2 linked regions of the Coturnix japonica genome follow. The protein of the gene in region 2 purifies or fractionates together with the protein of the main gene of each other region. This does not show direct contact. Links are inferred from orthologs where the notes say so. Each region holds a gene or a part of one and is shown on either strand. Other genes may lie near its edges.

Region 1 (7,227 bases), on a different chromosome or scaffold from region 2:
GGAAAAAAAACCCATAAAATCGTATTTAATCTGAGGTTATTTGAATAATACATCAGTAAGACATGCAGATACTGAGACAAATGCTAGGTCTTACTGACCCAGATAAGTGCAGCACAGTAGTTTGGCAGAATCCCTTGTTCTGAAACATCCGCCACCTGTCCTGGCACAGACACAGCTCCCTGCAATAGAAGTCACTTGGGAAACAGGGAGATTATTCCAACTAATGTTGCTTTTATTATGAATAGATTCTATGCAGAATGGAGAGGTATTTGAATCACTCCGGTCAGACAAGGCTTCAACGAAAATTGGATTTCAAGTGGTAAATATACCTTTGTTTTGTTGTTGCTTTCTTTGCCTTCACTTGGTAGGCTCCATGTTTAAAGACCTCTTTGCAATTAAAAATATCTGAACTAAAGGTACGCCTTTTTGTGACCTTATTAACAGTAAATCTCTAAAATAAATGAGATGTGCAATGACAACAAGTGCACTGCAGGGACAAACACATACGCTTAACTCTTCATTTTGTAACTAGGAGCGCTGGCACTTTCATGGATCCAGACCTTGAACAGACTTCCTTTGCTGCCAAGCATCTCCACGCCACCCTTCAGATCTGCTGGGCTTTACCCAGCAAGGTCTCCTGCCTCCTCCAGTCCAACTTACAGGCTCAAATGGCTTGGCACCTTCACCCGTTTAAAATCACTCAGAACCAAACAACACCCATTTGATCCTCAGTCAAGATCTCTATTTGGCTTGAGGGATCTGCTCTGTCCTGCCCTAGCATCTACAGGCAATTATGTTATCCCTTAGGAAAGCAGGTCTTCCACAGGACCTCTTAAGAGCAAACTTTCAATGACCTGACACTGCCCCTCTCTTAAAGCATTCATCCCCATAGCCTCACACAAGCCTTACAAATGATTTTCATGCAGAGAGGACCCTTCAGCTTTAACAATTAAATCTTGTTGGGAGCATACAAGCTGCTCCAAGCAGGCAAACCTTGTCACATATACGACTCATCCCTTCCTGATATTTTACTGTCTGATTAGTAATAATCATTTCTGACAAATCCTTTCTACAGCTCAGAACCAGTCGTAGCAGTGCAGGGATGCTCCATGCAGAGCCCATCTGAATGCAGATGTCTGGCTTATGTGTGGCTGCCTGACAGCAGCTGAGCACTTTCTTCACTGGACACCAGAGGGAGAAGGAGGAAAAGACAACTGATAGGGACAGTATGGAAGAGCTGCTCCAGGAGCCCTGAATTTGCTTACAGACTGCAGAGCCAAATGTATTTCTGCAATGGGATCAAGAAGACCGGCACGTCATCTACCTGGGAAGGCGACAGCAAACACTAAATATGTGCTCAGTATTTCAATTCAGCAAAAAAACAAAGGCAAAAGAAGAAAGAGACTCAGCAAGATTACCAGAGAACTATTTACTATCCTATTAAAACTCTGCTTTTATTTCCTCATCAAATCTTTTCATTATGCCTTCAAGCCATAAGAAGGATTATTAAATGTCATCCACAATTCAAATAATTAATGTATGGTGGTACCAGATACGTATGTGCTCTCATGGAGAATTAATAACAGCTGCTATCTTTCTTCCAACCATATTTTTTCCAAAATACATATATTAATCATGAGTCTGCCGTGCATTTTTTTTAAGCCTATCCAGTATTGAAGGTCTCCAGGGAACTCACACTTGGAAAATTGGAGAACTCATAATATATTCTGTTCTCTACTTTTTAATTTACTAACTAAATGTTACAGTAAAGTAAGCACTCGGAAAAGAAGAAGGATAAGAAAGGCTTTGCTTGCTCCAGAACTGCTAATAATTGCAGAACCCACGTCCTCCATTCTTTGAAATAGCCCTTCAAAAACAATAAACCAGAGCTGCCAATTCAGAAGGCAGCGTGTCCCCATTCAACAGACCAGCTTTGGTTGCTAATTTTCTACAATTAAAACACTCTGGGAAGGTTTCAGCACTTTCACAGTCAGTGCAGATCCCAGAGCTGCATTTGGCCTCTGCTCCTTGCTCTGCTCCCCTCTGTCCCTGCAGTGTGCCTGTAAGGTGCTGAGCACCACGTGTGCATTATCCATGCAAAACACTGCGCTTCAGCAACACAACCAAAACTGAGTTCAGCTCCTGATTGCCAGGAGATAATTATCAGCAGATAAACAGGTCAAGAATTAGCACTTCAATTGCTCACAACCTGGGGAAGTTTAAATGCTCTGCCTTCAACCCAGGTTACAATCTGCATCCCAGGTGTAGCCCTTCCACACTGAAAAGTCCATGGCTATCTGGCTTTGGACGCTGCAAACCACAAAATATATCACAATTCTCTTCCATCCCACAAAACAACACAAGAAATACCCACATTATTTAAACAAATCAAGTTTTATGAGCAGATCAGGGGACGTCATGTAAGGCAACGGTGTAACCATACAACCCGCTTGCCCCCTACCAGAAGCTGTGTGTAGTGCAAGAGCACACAGGAGCTGCAAGCACATTCACCCCAGCAAAGCACCAAACAACAAATAACTTTAACCATCCATTTGACGCAGCAACTGCCAACATGCAGCAGTTCTCACACCTCCAGACACAAACCTTTTCAACACTGAAGATTAAGGGAGCAGATCTTTCATGACATGCATGTTTTTGGATAATTTGAGGAAGAAATATTTTCAAGTAGTTTTAAAGACTTACCTCCTCGCTGCACCAGCAACGTGACTTCGCTTCCCTTCGGACATTCAATCAGCATATCTACCACCTGGTTGTGAGTGAGGCTCTGCACATTCTTCTTGTTGACTTCGACTATAAGGTCACCCTCCTTCAGGCCCCGGCATCGCGGGCTGTCCACAATTTGTTTCACCCTTTGGCCACCCCCACCGGGACTGTCTGCTATAGTAAAGCCAAAGCCCATGGGCCCTTTCACTATATGCACAGTTATCAGTTCAGGTTGTGTTGCTATTGAAGATGCCAAAGAGACCGTGTCATTGGGGTACCCATGGGGTCCGTTGGAGGAGACCTCAGCTGGGCTGCTGGGTCTCGCTTCCTTTGTGCCATTGACTTTCCCTGTTTTACTACTGTGGCTGGCTGGGGAGTCATAATTTTCCTGCCCGTTCACAATGATCGGCTCTTTGTCCAAAATTGCCACGGACGTCACCAAGCTTGTGTTGGGGTCATCGGGATCGAAGGGCAGGGGGTAGCCTCGGCACAGTTCGAGGTCCACGCTGGCACCAATGGGGATGGACTGGAAGATTTTCACAACTTGGGCGTGAGTGTGCCCCAGCACACAGGTGTCATTCACGCTGACTATGACATCCCCTGCAGAGGACACAAGAGAGATATATCAGGTGCATACAGCCACACCACACTTGTACACCTCAGGAACACAGAATTGGAGCCCCAGAAGCCCACAGGTGCCACTTGTGGGCAGAGAGCAGCACTAAAGTATTTTGCAAAGAAAAGCTGTGAGAATATTTGGACAAGCAAGAACTACTAGCACACAGAAGATTCAGCACATAAAGCCTTCATGTGCATAAACACTTTCTGAAAGTGCAAATGGAATTTGGTTCGTGCAAAAAGGTAATAAATTCAAGCAACAATATATCGCCTATTTTGCAGTTATTGCCAAGCCCAGCTCTCACTGTCACACCCTGCTCTACAATGACATCTGACAGGAACAAAACTGAGAGCTGTAACAGAAGGCTCAAACAGCAACTGCTTAAATACGGTGCCATGTACCGCGTCTCAGACGTACTTCAGCCTGAAATCTCATTCAGTTCTTTAACACTGTGGCTGTAAGACAGGGATGTTCAGCGTGTGATGTTCAGGTGAACCCTACTGGGATTTCCTCCTGTTGCATCCCACCTCCCTGCTTGCTGATCGGAAAGCTGAACATCTTTCCCCAAAAACACGATGAGGACTAAAGGTTGTTTTGAATTGCATATAAAAACAGCCACAAAACCATAAACCAAAGTGAAGGGGGTGATTTTGAGTGATGGCACCAGTACCTGTCTCCATTTTGCCGTCCAGCGCCGCAGGGCCGTCAAGCACCAAACTTTTGATCTGCAGAAACTCATCCGGCTCATCTCCTCCGACGACGGTGAAGCCGAACCCCCTGCTGCTTTTCCTTAACTTCGTGTGGATGAACTTCCCTTTCAACTCAGAAGGGTTTCTTGTAAAAAAAGGTTTCCCTGTGTAGGAAGTTTGGAAAATCTATAAAAAGGCAGGCAAGAGCATTTGGTCTTCTTTTCCTCCATCCCTCTGCATTCTAACAAGTGCATAAACAGCAGGGAGCAGGGACAGGACCAGACTGCTGCCCTGTCACCTCACTGCCCTCCACTTGTCTCCCTGGCACCAATCACGCAGGGAAAGGAGTGAACAAAACCCTCTGACTTCCAGCTGTTGTCTTTGCTGTGGTTGGATGCACCACAGTACTGAGGCTACACAAGGGGAAAGGGCTTTTTTTGGAAGGGAATGCATTAAAGCTAGCAGTGCTGGTTTGATAATACGTCTTATCACTGTCTTGAGGTGGTTTTATCCTCTCCACTAAGGATGAGATTGAGTCGGCAGTGAGAATTTCTGTAGAAATTAGCATCATAGTTTTATTATACTTGGCTTTCTCCAGCAGCTCCAGAGCGATGTTCAGACACCATGTAACCCTTCAGCTAATCCCCTGCCCATCCCATCATCACTACCCCCCTATCACCTCCTCTGGTGAGGAGCAGGGGGGATGCTGACATTGCTCTTCAGACACGGTTTCAAGCCTGACTCCTTCCTTCCTGCTCCTCACCTGCAGTGGATGAAGCAGTGCTGTAGTGAAGGTGGATCAAAGAGCATCCTGAATCCTAGGGGGGGGGGGGGGCTGTGCTGGAGGACTGCTAATACTCTCTGGGAGCATGGATAAGGGAGCACAAGGTGCTCCAAAAGCAAAAGCTCATCCTTGCACAGCACATTGCACAGGATGGGAAAGGAGTCACGGTTGTGTACTTCACAGTGCCAACACTACGCACCTCTGAACTTCTAATTATTTTTAACGTTTAGAGGGGAAAAGCCTGTGCCACTAAGCCCTCTGGTGACAGCTCCAGGATCAGCAGCCTGTGTCATAGCCAGCAGTGCTGGCATGATTTCAGAAACCTCGGCAGCATTGCCGTGGGGCTCTGCTCAGAAAGCAAATCTTAAGGGAAACTGGAGGCTTGTAAGCCTTTGAATGGGGGAAAAAAATAAAACGTATATTTGAAGATTATTCATGAGGGGGCAGTGCAAGGAGTCCGTCTTCTGCCTTTGAAGGGTAGCACAGGAATGTGGCAATCCTGCACATGGCAGGCAGATACTGTGCTCAGACCCCAGGGTGCAGAAAAACACAGGCAGCTTGTAGCAGGGTTTGGCCCTGTGCTCATTTTTGGTTAAAAAAATAAGCAGAACAAGCAAAGCTTGCCAGCATCTGCCTACTAACACGGCTTGAACTTGCCCTTAGTAACAAGAGACAGTAGCATCACAGGCTATGTCACACCTATGGTGTTCGCAGGGGAGAATGTTCTAAAGGAGTGTATCTGGAAGATCCCAGCAGTGCCACCAGAGGGAAATGGAAACACCCAGGTGCAGGGCAAGGAGACAGGGAAGCAGGGAACAGTGCTACAAACAGGGAGCAAGAGAAGGAGGAACAGCACTAAGAAAGGAAGAGGAAGGAGTGAGAGAGAGAAGGAGTATCAGTGTGGACCAGAACATCATTGAGGCAGGCTAACAAAAATGTTGGTGCAAGATTTTGGTGGATGGCAGTCGGCAGCAGGTGGAGAGCTGAGTGAGGTCCCCTGCACAATGGGTCCTGCATTGCCAGGTATGGAGTTTGGGCAGCCCTTGTACCATCTCAACAGTATATAAAAACAGCACTCAAATGAACTGACCAGTGCTGGATGCCTGGTGGACAGGGCATCATCTCCAGACACGTTTTTCCTTGGTGCCAATCTGGACTACCCTAATATACTCTAATATCCCATGGGAATGTGCTGGAGGGTTTGCATGATTTTGTTTTTGGGAGGGAAGGCTGCCCTGTGTGAACAAAAAGAAATCTATTTTCTATTTTCTATGGATCGTACTGTAAGAGCCATGCCATAAACTCAGCTATGAAGACATAAAAGCCTAATCCTTGCCTAACAATACAGCTCTGTAGCAAAAGATCCCCTATTTGTACCTGCATCCAGCAGGTACAGTGGTTAAATCCCACTGATGTAAATCACATTTTTGTGCCTTTTTGAAGACTTGGGATACTACATGAAGAATAGTCATGGTTCGTTTTTTCATTCAGGTAATCACGTTTGCTCCTCACATTTGGCAACAAATGTGGTTTTGAGGTAATTAGTATCAAAGTCTAGGGGACTGGTGTGTGATACTCCCTTTATTGGTTATGGTGGGAACTTCCTTTGCAGGAAAAAAACTTGTTGGGCTTTTACAACTGGTTTAACAAGGTTGTTACCTTGCACTGGTGCTTCCCGAACTGTCTCTTGGTTGTTTGAAACAAGGTTTGGAGCAGCGGGTGGTGGGAGAGATGGACACTCCTCTGTCCATTCTGGAGAGGGCAGAGAGGGAAATGTTACTCGTTTCACAACAGCACTATGAGTTCCTCCACGTACACACATTGGGAGTGTGGGTTTGAGCAAAGGAGACATGTAAAGCATAGCAAGAACAGAAAGAGACACAGAGAGAAGGAACAAAATGAATGGGATGTTCAAAAAACAGCTCTGGAGGATCCTCTATGTTTAAGTCAATCAATCTGTGTGTGCTCGGACAGTATTCCTCACACTCACACTCGGGACTTGCAACAAAGTGGTCTCAATATTTACATTAAAGCTATTCTACACAGTCCTCACAACATCAGTTCAGCCTGACTGAGAAATAGAAGGGATGATGTTGCGGTAACTGGGGGTGTAGGATGAATGCTGAGACCTAAGTCTTCTCTCCCTTTGACAGGAGCTGCTGTTCAACAAGGGGTGGGAAATCTATGAAAGTCCAGAAAGAAACCTGTAGGTCCCTCACTGCCATTGGGTTGCTTTAAAAAAGAAAATAAAAGGAAAACATTTTTTAAGACATGAATAAAGGAGAAAAAAATGGGGTGGGTGAAGTGTTCTGAAATCATGAAATTAATTCAGATATCTGAGCTACACAAAATGCAAAAGCTCTCTCATGCAGAGGGGTTTCTCTAGCATATGTGTACAATGCTCACTCCTC
Region 2 (6,682 bases):
GAGAGCTGTAAGAGCATGGCTCTGCACTGATCCTAGACCCAACGCCATCCCCACTAACGGGCACAAATCTGGAAGCTTTCAAGGTGGGACACGCTAAGAGAGAAGCTGGACAGTTGGGAAAGGCTGCATCCTGCAGCTCTTCCCTTCTGCCCTGCTCAGCCACGCAGCAGGTAGATGCTATCTGGGAGCTGAGGCTGGCAACCCTACTTACAGGTAGGAAATAATACTGTAATTACTAGGCAGATGCAGTATTTGATCTCAGAACACAAATGTACAAAATTGTAACAAAGGCATTGTAAACAAGCAAATAAGCACTGCCTCCTTGAAGGATTTCAATGCATTCCACTCTTGGTAGGTTAAAGGCCAAACGTAAGTTGACAACTAGCTTATCTCATTATCCCAATGAGACTAAGTGCTAGGATCACGATTAAAATTGAAAAGGAAGATTAAAAAACCCTTCCAGGCATTGGGAAGTGCAGCCAGAGTTATCGTCCTGATGTGATGATCTTGGAATTTGGAATGATACTGTGTGATGTGGCAGACAGCGACAATGGTAGCTTGGAGATTGCTGCACTGTGCATTTCAAGCAACACAGTTTGAAAAGTGCCAGGGCGATTTCTTCACAGTATTTCACATGCAAGGGGAGAAGGGACAGAAGGGGGGTTTGAGGGGGGTGGAGGAAGAAGCCCCATGCTGCTTTAAGGCAGGGAAGGAGGCAAACAGGTCCACCATCCTTTAACTATAGTTCCAAGGCTCCTATTCTAGGGATGTCTTCTTGTGCTCTCCTTTAAGGTGGTTCACTCTGGATCCAGAAAAGCCCCAAGTCTTACACAGCAGAGACTTGTTCATCTTCTGCAAACACAACAGGACAGGGGAAAATATTTAGTTCATGTAGATGAAGACCGCTACTAAATGAAACAACCTGTACTATGTTCATGTGCTTTCTGTTCCTCTCTGTTAGGTATATTAAAAAACAAATGAAAACAAAACAAAAAACCAACTATCTAAATATCTTTACATTTCAGGTCTCATGAGAAGCACTTCTCTGACATTTTATCATCTCAAAGAAAATAGAACAATCACTATTGTTGATCTGGGCGCAGTATTCTCAGGACTGGAATGCAACAGCTGTTCCTAAATATCTAGTAGCTTCATAAAGCAGTTCTTACATTTTTCCTTGAATGTATCTGACACTATTTCCTAGGGAGTTATTTGACTTAAGATTGCATAAAAATGACTGTGGCTTCTGCTGTCACTGGTAAAATACAACTAAAAGTCTCAAACTGCCACAGTAGTTCTTAAAGATTGAGGCAATCCTATTAAAGGGATCTCATCTTTTTGTCATGTTTGATTGCTGAGTTCATGCTGTACACAGAGCTTTAGTAACTAAGCAGTTAGCGAGGGAAGGAGAAAGTTAGCCTTTCTACCATTAGACAAAACAGAGCATCAAAGATTCAGATGCGTGACTTGAGCATTATCCTGCTTAGGCTGCAAGCATCTAGCTCTGAAGATGCAATCCAGCTACACGTACACGCCACCAAATAACAGAAAGACTATGTGTGTATGGTCTTTATATTGCAATACCTGAGCTAAAGCATAAAGATCGGCAAGCAAGATAGCAAATTCATGTGAAGCAGTTGGTATGGAAGACCCAGCATCCACAACAAGAGTTTCAGCTAGAACGCCGAGTGATAATCCATCTAAAACTGACCAATGATGCTCTCTGGGGGTAGGCATTTGTAGACTGAGATAAATATTTTGAGCTAGTGCCAAACACTGGATATTTTCAGGGCACCCAGGGCTTTTTATCTGGAACGTAGGCACCTCAAAAGAAGTTGCCTAAGCCAACTGCTTGGTTGTCAAGGATTCAAGGCAGACATACATTCCAGATTTTAAATGATGTTTTGCATGAACTGAATTCTTCTTTTTCCAAAAAGTAAACAGACAGTAAGGCTTGAAAGATGGAAACTCAAATTATAGCAAGAATTTCTAGTGCAACAATCACTTGCATAATCTACTTTGTGACTGAAAACAACGAACACATTTGCATGCAGCACACTTAAAATTTAACAATAAGAAATTTACCATCTTCATCTGTGGGAAACCCTTGAGACTGATAGTGAGCAAGACGTGGATCTGACTCGTTTGGTTTATGCCACTGAGGTTTGTTCACAGGCCTGCTAGTTGAATGGCCATGTGACTGTTGCTGTTGAGCCGAAGTCCCATGGGTCTCACATGTCCGTGCCACCATTCTAGACCTCTGAAGTGCAACATTGTAATCTGGAGGCTTTCTAGTTGGATGGGAAACACCTTCTGCAAACTCAGCAATAGGTATTCCTACATAACCAGGAGGAGTTGGAGGTGGCTCCCGATACCGACCTTCTTTTCGTGCTGCAAGAAAAAAAGATTGTTATGAAGTAATAAGACGAAAGCTGATGAAATCAAAATGAACAGTGAGAGTTAAATGTTGATCAACTCATGATCCAAGGAGAAAAGCCCTGAAGAAGGATGAAAGTTAAATACTACTTAGTAGATAATGAGATACTGAAAAATAAACTATACGAGAAAACTAAGAATATACAACATACATGTGATACCAATATTGTTCCAGTAGTGAAGTATTAATGAAATTAAATCACTAAATTACATGAGGAACTTGCTCTAACTTAGCAGCTGAAGCTACTCCACCAACTACACAGAATGAATCATTCACTGGTCAAAGAGACCAGTGATATGGGAGATACAAGAGTTCACAAAAGTGGCAGCCATCATGAATATCAGCTTCTCCCCAAATGCCATCCCAGTCTTAATCTTGAAGATGAGTTTTGCCCCTAAAAGTTTACCTCTTCTGTTCTTAGAAACTTGCAGGCAAGGAAAAAATAAATAAATAAATAGATATAAAATAAAATAAATATAAAATAAAACAAAACAAAATAAAATAGAAAAAAAAAAAGGTTCTAAAAACCTTACTAAGGCAAAGCTACAGTTCCAACACATAAGAGTAATGGACCTCATTCTCATGCTTTTTGCATGCGTCACTAACCACTGCTCTTATGATTTTAATTTCTACAGAATTAAGTCTTGAAATCATTCCTGCAAGAACACTAATTGAATAAGATTTTGAGCGGGAGAAGGAAAGACCACATACTTTGTGGATCTCATTGAGGTTTCTCTGTTTACCTGAACAAGAGTTACCTCTGGCCATGACCAGTGTACCCTTGCAGAGAGATTTGAGGGAAGAAACAGTGATGAAGAGTTTTAAACACCTTCAAGAACAGACCAGATGCACAATGGTTTCATGATTCTGTACTGTGGAATTTCATGTTTAAAGAAGTTAATTAAGACTCTGACCCTGAACAGTTTTTTTGTGAGTCTAACCCTTTAATGTGACTACTTACAATACAAAAGCAAACACAGCAGGAAAAAAAAACCTGGCACAGCAAACTTACTCTTCCTGCCTTGTCATGCCCTGTATATTCTTGCACAAGTGACGAGGACAACATCACCCTGCATTATGCACTATGAAATTGACTGCAAGGGCAGTACCAGCTCACAAATGGTTTTACTGGGCTGGTTGGCTTTTGCCTTGCTATTAGCAAGCCAAATTGTCTCCTATGGAATCTAAATACTTTTCTTGGACAAACACGTGTAATTGAGCAAAGCAACATGAAGAAACTTCTGAGAATTTTTATTCAAAGATTTCAGTAATTTTCATTTCAAGTAATTTTGACATAGAATAAATTCTGTTGAAAAATTCTATTGAACTATTGCAAGAGATCCATGATAAACAGAGCTGCATTTTCAAGCACAGTTAATAGTACTGAATGCATGGAAGTTATACAGCTGCAATTTTTGGATCTTTGTCACATTCTCTGAAGTCTATCAGTGTATATAAATGTAGTGGCAAGCTCAGTCATGAGAGGCGAGTCTGGAAGCACACCTGTTGGTGGAAACCAAGTGCATCAAAGAGTAAAATTAGAGAATGGCACAAATCAGGACCTTGAGTCCTGAACTGACCAGCTTCCTCCCCTTCACAGTTCAAGGATTCAATGCTGCACCCAAGTTTTGCAGCAATAGGCAAGCAATATACTAAGGCAGAAAATGGAAAAGCACCTTATCATAATGGTCTCAGCATGGCCTCTGTCTGACAGACTTTTTCAGCTGTGTCAAACCAAAATGGCTTTCAGAGAACCCTTCATAATAACCTGAGGAAAGGCACTCACAGCAAAGGGAAATGAAAGATGCAAAAAATGTAGAAGGGTCTTGGATGGCCCTGTAACACCTGGGATGTGTAGAAGGAAAAATATGAGGATTGTTAAAAACACTGCCAAAGCTACCTTTATGTTATATCCATCCTCACTGGATGATTGTAAATGTAATACAGCCCTAATTTCTTAGGAATCTCTTAAATTTCAGTAATCTAAAGAAATGCCTCAGCTGGTGTCTAAACACAAAGCTGCATTTTTAGAAGTAAGGAACATTTAAAAGTAAGGAATCATCAGACTAGTTATACAAATGTAGAAAGGAAAACACTTCTAAAAAAAAGAAAAAAGATGACTAAATATAGAGTACAAAGGCTTACTGTGAAAAGTAATTCAAATTTCAGAACAGACACCTATATACATCAGCTCCTCAAAACACTGCCCAGCAGTTGAGCTAGTTGGTTTTTTTATGATGTATGGTAGGCTGTCTTGAAACACAAAGGAGCTGCCAGAACTGAGAAGCAGCTGTAAGTGATAATTTCTCTAGCAGTAAAAACACAGTTACAGGGCAAAAACTGAGAGACTACAAAACATTCCATTCTTTAAAATCAAACCAGACAAAAGAAAAATAGGTTTAGAACAATGCTAAGCACTGTAGGTAAGTGAATTAAAGTAAAATGTAACTTACCAATAAGCCCCTTTGTAGTACTTGATGTTACCGGTATGTGAGCGGGCATGGGAGCTGGCTTCGCCTCCTCTGCTGGTATGGATGTTCCGCAGCTAGTTTCAGCTTCAATAGAAACATCCTTCCCACCCCTTCGCTTTATGGTACCTGTGTCACCTTCTGAGTCCTCTCCCCAGTAGCCCGTTGAGGATGCCCAGCTTGCTCTGGACTGTGCTTGATCGAGGCCCTCCCTACCTTGACTTTGCCGGCTATACTTTGTGCCATGATCAGAGAACATCAGCTGGTCCACATGACTGCCTGAGGCCCACAGTCCTGCCCCATCGCCCGAATTATCAAAATGAGCATGTCCAAATGGCAGAGTCTCCCAGCTTCTCTGGTGCTGTATTGTTTGTATGTTGTCATGAGAACCACTTGAACAAGAAGTCCAGCTACCACGGCCACTGTCAGCTGCATCGAGTGAAGCTCTGTCCCCTTGATCCTGTGACAGTTCTTCTGTACTAGGAGAAGACAGAACAGTAGCTCCAGCATACAGGCCTCTGTTCTCTGACAGTGGTGCGTAAGATCTAGATGCACATTGAAGAGGGGAACAAAAAAATCCAGCACTGAAAGCAGAGATCTTTTACAAAGCACACAAAGAACTAGCACGTTAAAAAAAAAACAAAACAAAACAAAACAAACAAAAAAAAACCCCAAAAAAGTGCATGTTGAAAGTTTTGATGCAATTTATGTTGTAGTTGTTTAATGACTAATCTGATTTTGAGCATAGAAAACTTTCCTTTTAAGCTTATCCTTAACAGAATCAGTAAGAACACTGGGTAACTCTCCTGATGAAACACGTTAGTGGAGCCTCCACAAAATATAAAATCTTAACTTTGCAGCAGTCCTTTAAGACAGGCAAATGCCACTGAGATACATAGAATAAAAGGGAGCAGACTGACATATAGGTTCCTACCATTTTTCCATACAAGCAATGCAAATAACTCAAAGTTATAAACTGAGTGACTGAAACTCAGATTCAGACCTCTGCTCATTCATAACTCAGAATGACAACTTACCAGTATTTCTTGCAAAGGAAATTGACTTTGTTACTTTTGGAAAAACATATTACTTCCTATAGCAAGTACGTTCTCTGTAGCCTTCCACTGGCTGATCAAGTCTGACACTACCACTTACATAGCAGCAGTGAAAACTGATCAAGTGTCAGCTTCATTTAGCAACTATCAGGGCTGCTGTGAGTTGTGGTTTCAGGGCAGCTTGTTATGCAGATTGGGACCTTTATCTTCCAAATATTTTACACATCTGATCAAAGAGCTTGCATAGCCTGGGATTCCCAGAGCTGAAGCACACCACTTTCAGAACAGGCCTGTCATCCACAGACCCTACAGGACTATAAACCTCAAAACCAGAGAACTAAAGCTTCCAAATAATAGCTCAAAAAAGCAATTGGTGACTAATACAAATCAGAGCTTCAAATATTTTCAGACCGAGGCTCACAGAGATTCAGAGAACTACTTGCAGCGCTAGCTTACACATCTTTACAGAAGTTAATTATCTAGAAAATTACTTTGAAAGCCAACAGCCAAACATGAATTTTACCTTCAAACATGAATTTTAGCTTTATTGGTGACTAGGAGAGAGATTTGGGGTAAAAAAATTCTAAGCTAGATAAAAATGCAATTTTCTGTAAAAACAGACTGGAAAATTATTAGCTATTTCTGCTCTTACTGCCATTCCTGATATAACTGCATCAATAATTTGTCATCTAACTCAGTTAATTCCCCACCTAAAAAAATGG

Evidence for each region. The genes of interacting proteins can lie anywhere in the genome.
Region 1: the proteins of RAPGEF2 (region 2) and MAGI1 purify together in Homo sapiens (co-immunoprecipitation; 3 studies listed by BioGRID and IntAct, with this or other methods). This does not show direct contact. The link is inferred for Coturnix japonica from reciprocal best matches to the Homo sapiens genes RAPGEF2 and MAGI1.

Annotation. Positions count from the first base shown.
Region 1 is NC_029527.1:11,503,938-11,511,164, forward strand, and holds part of MAGI1 (membrane-associated guanylate kinase, WW and PDZ domain-containing protein 1), read right to left. Parts: intron 6,569-7,227; coding exon 6,476-6,568; intron 4,197-6,475; coding exon 4,014-4,196; intron 3,325-4,013; coding exon 2,704-3,324; intron 1-2,703. UniProt on the Homo sapiens protein: Plays a role in coupling actin fibers to cell junctions in endothelial cells, via its interaction with AMOTL2 and CDH5. May regulate acid-induced ASIC3 currents by modulating its expression at the cell surface.
Region 2 is NC_029519.1:19,618,508-19,625,189, reverse strand, and holds part of RAPGEF2 (rap guanine nucleotide exchange factor 2), read right to left. Parts: intron 5,451-6,682; coding exon 4,891-5,450; intron 2,392-4,890; coding exon 2,086-2,391; intron 853-2,085; coding exon 827-852; 3' UTR 1-826. UniProt on the Homo sapiens protein: Functions as a guanine nucleotide exchange factor (GEF), which activates Rap and Ras family of small GTPases by exchanging bound GDP for free GTP in a cAMP-dependent manner.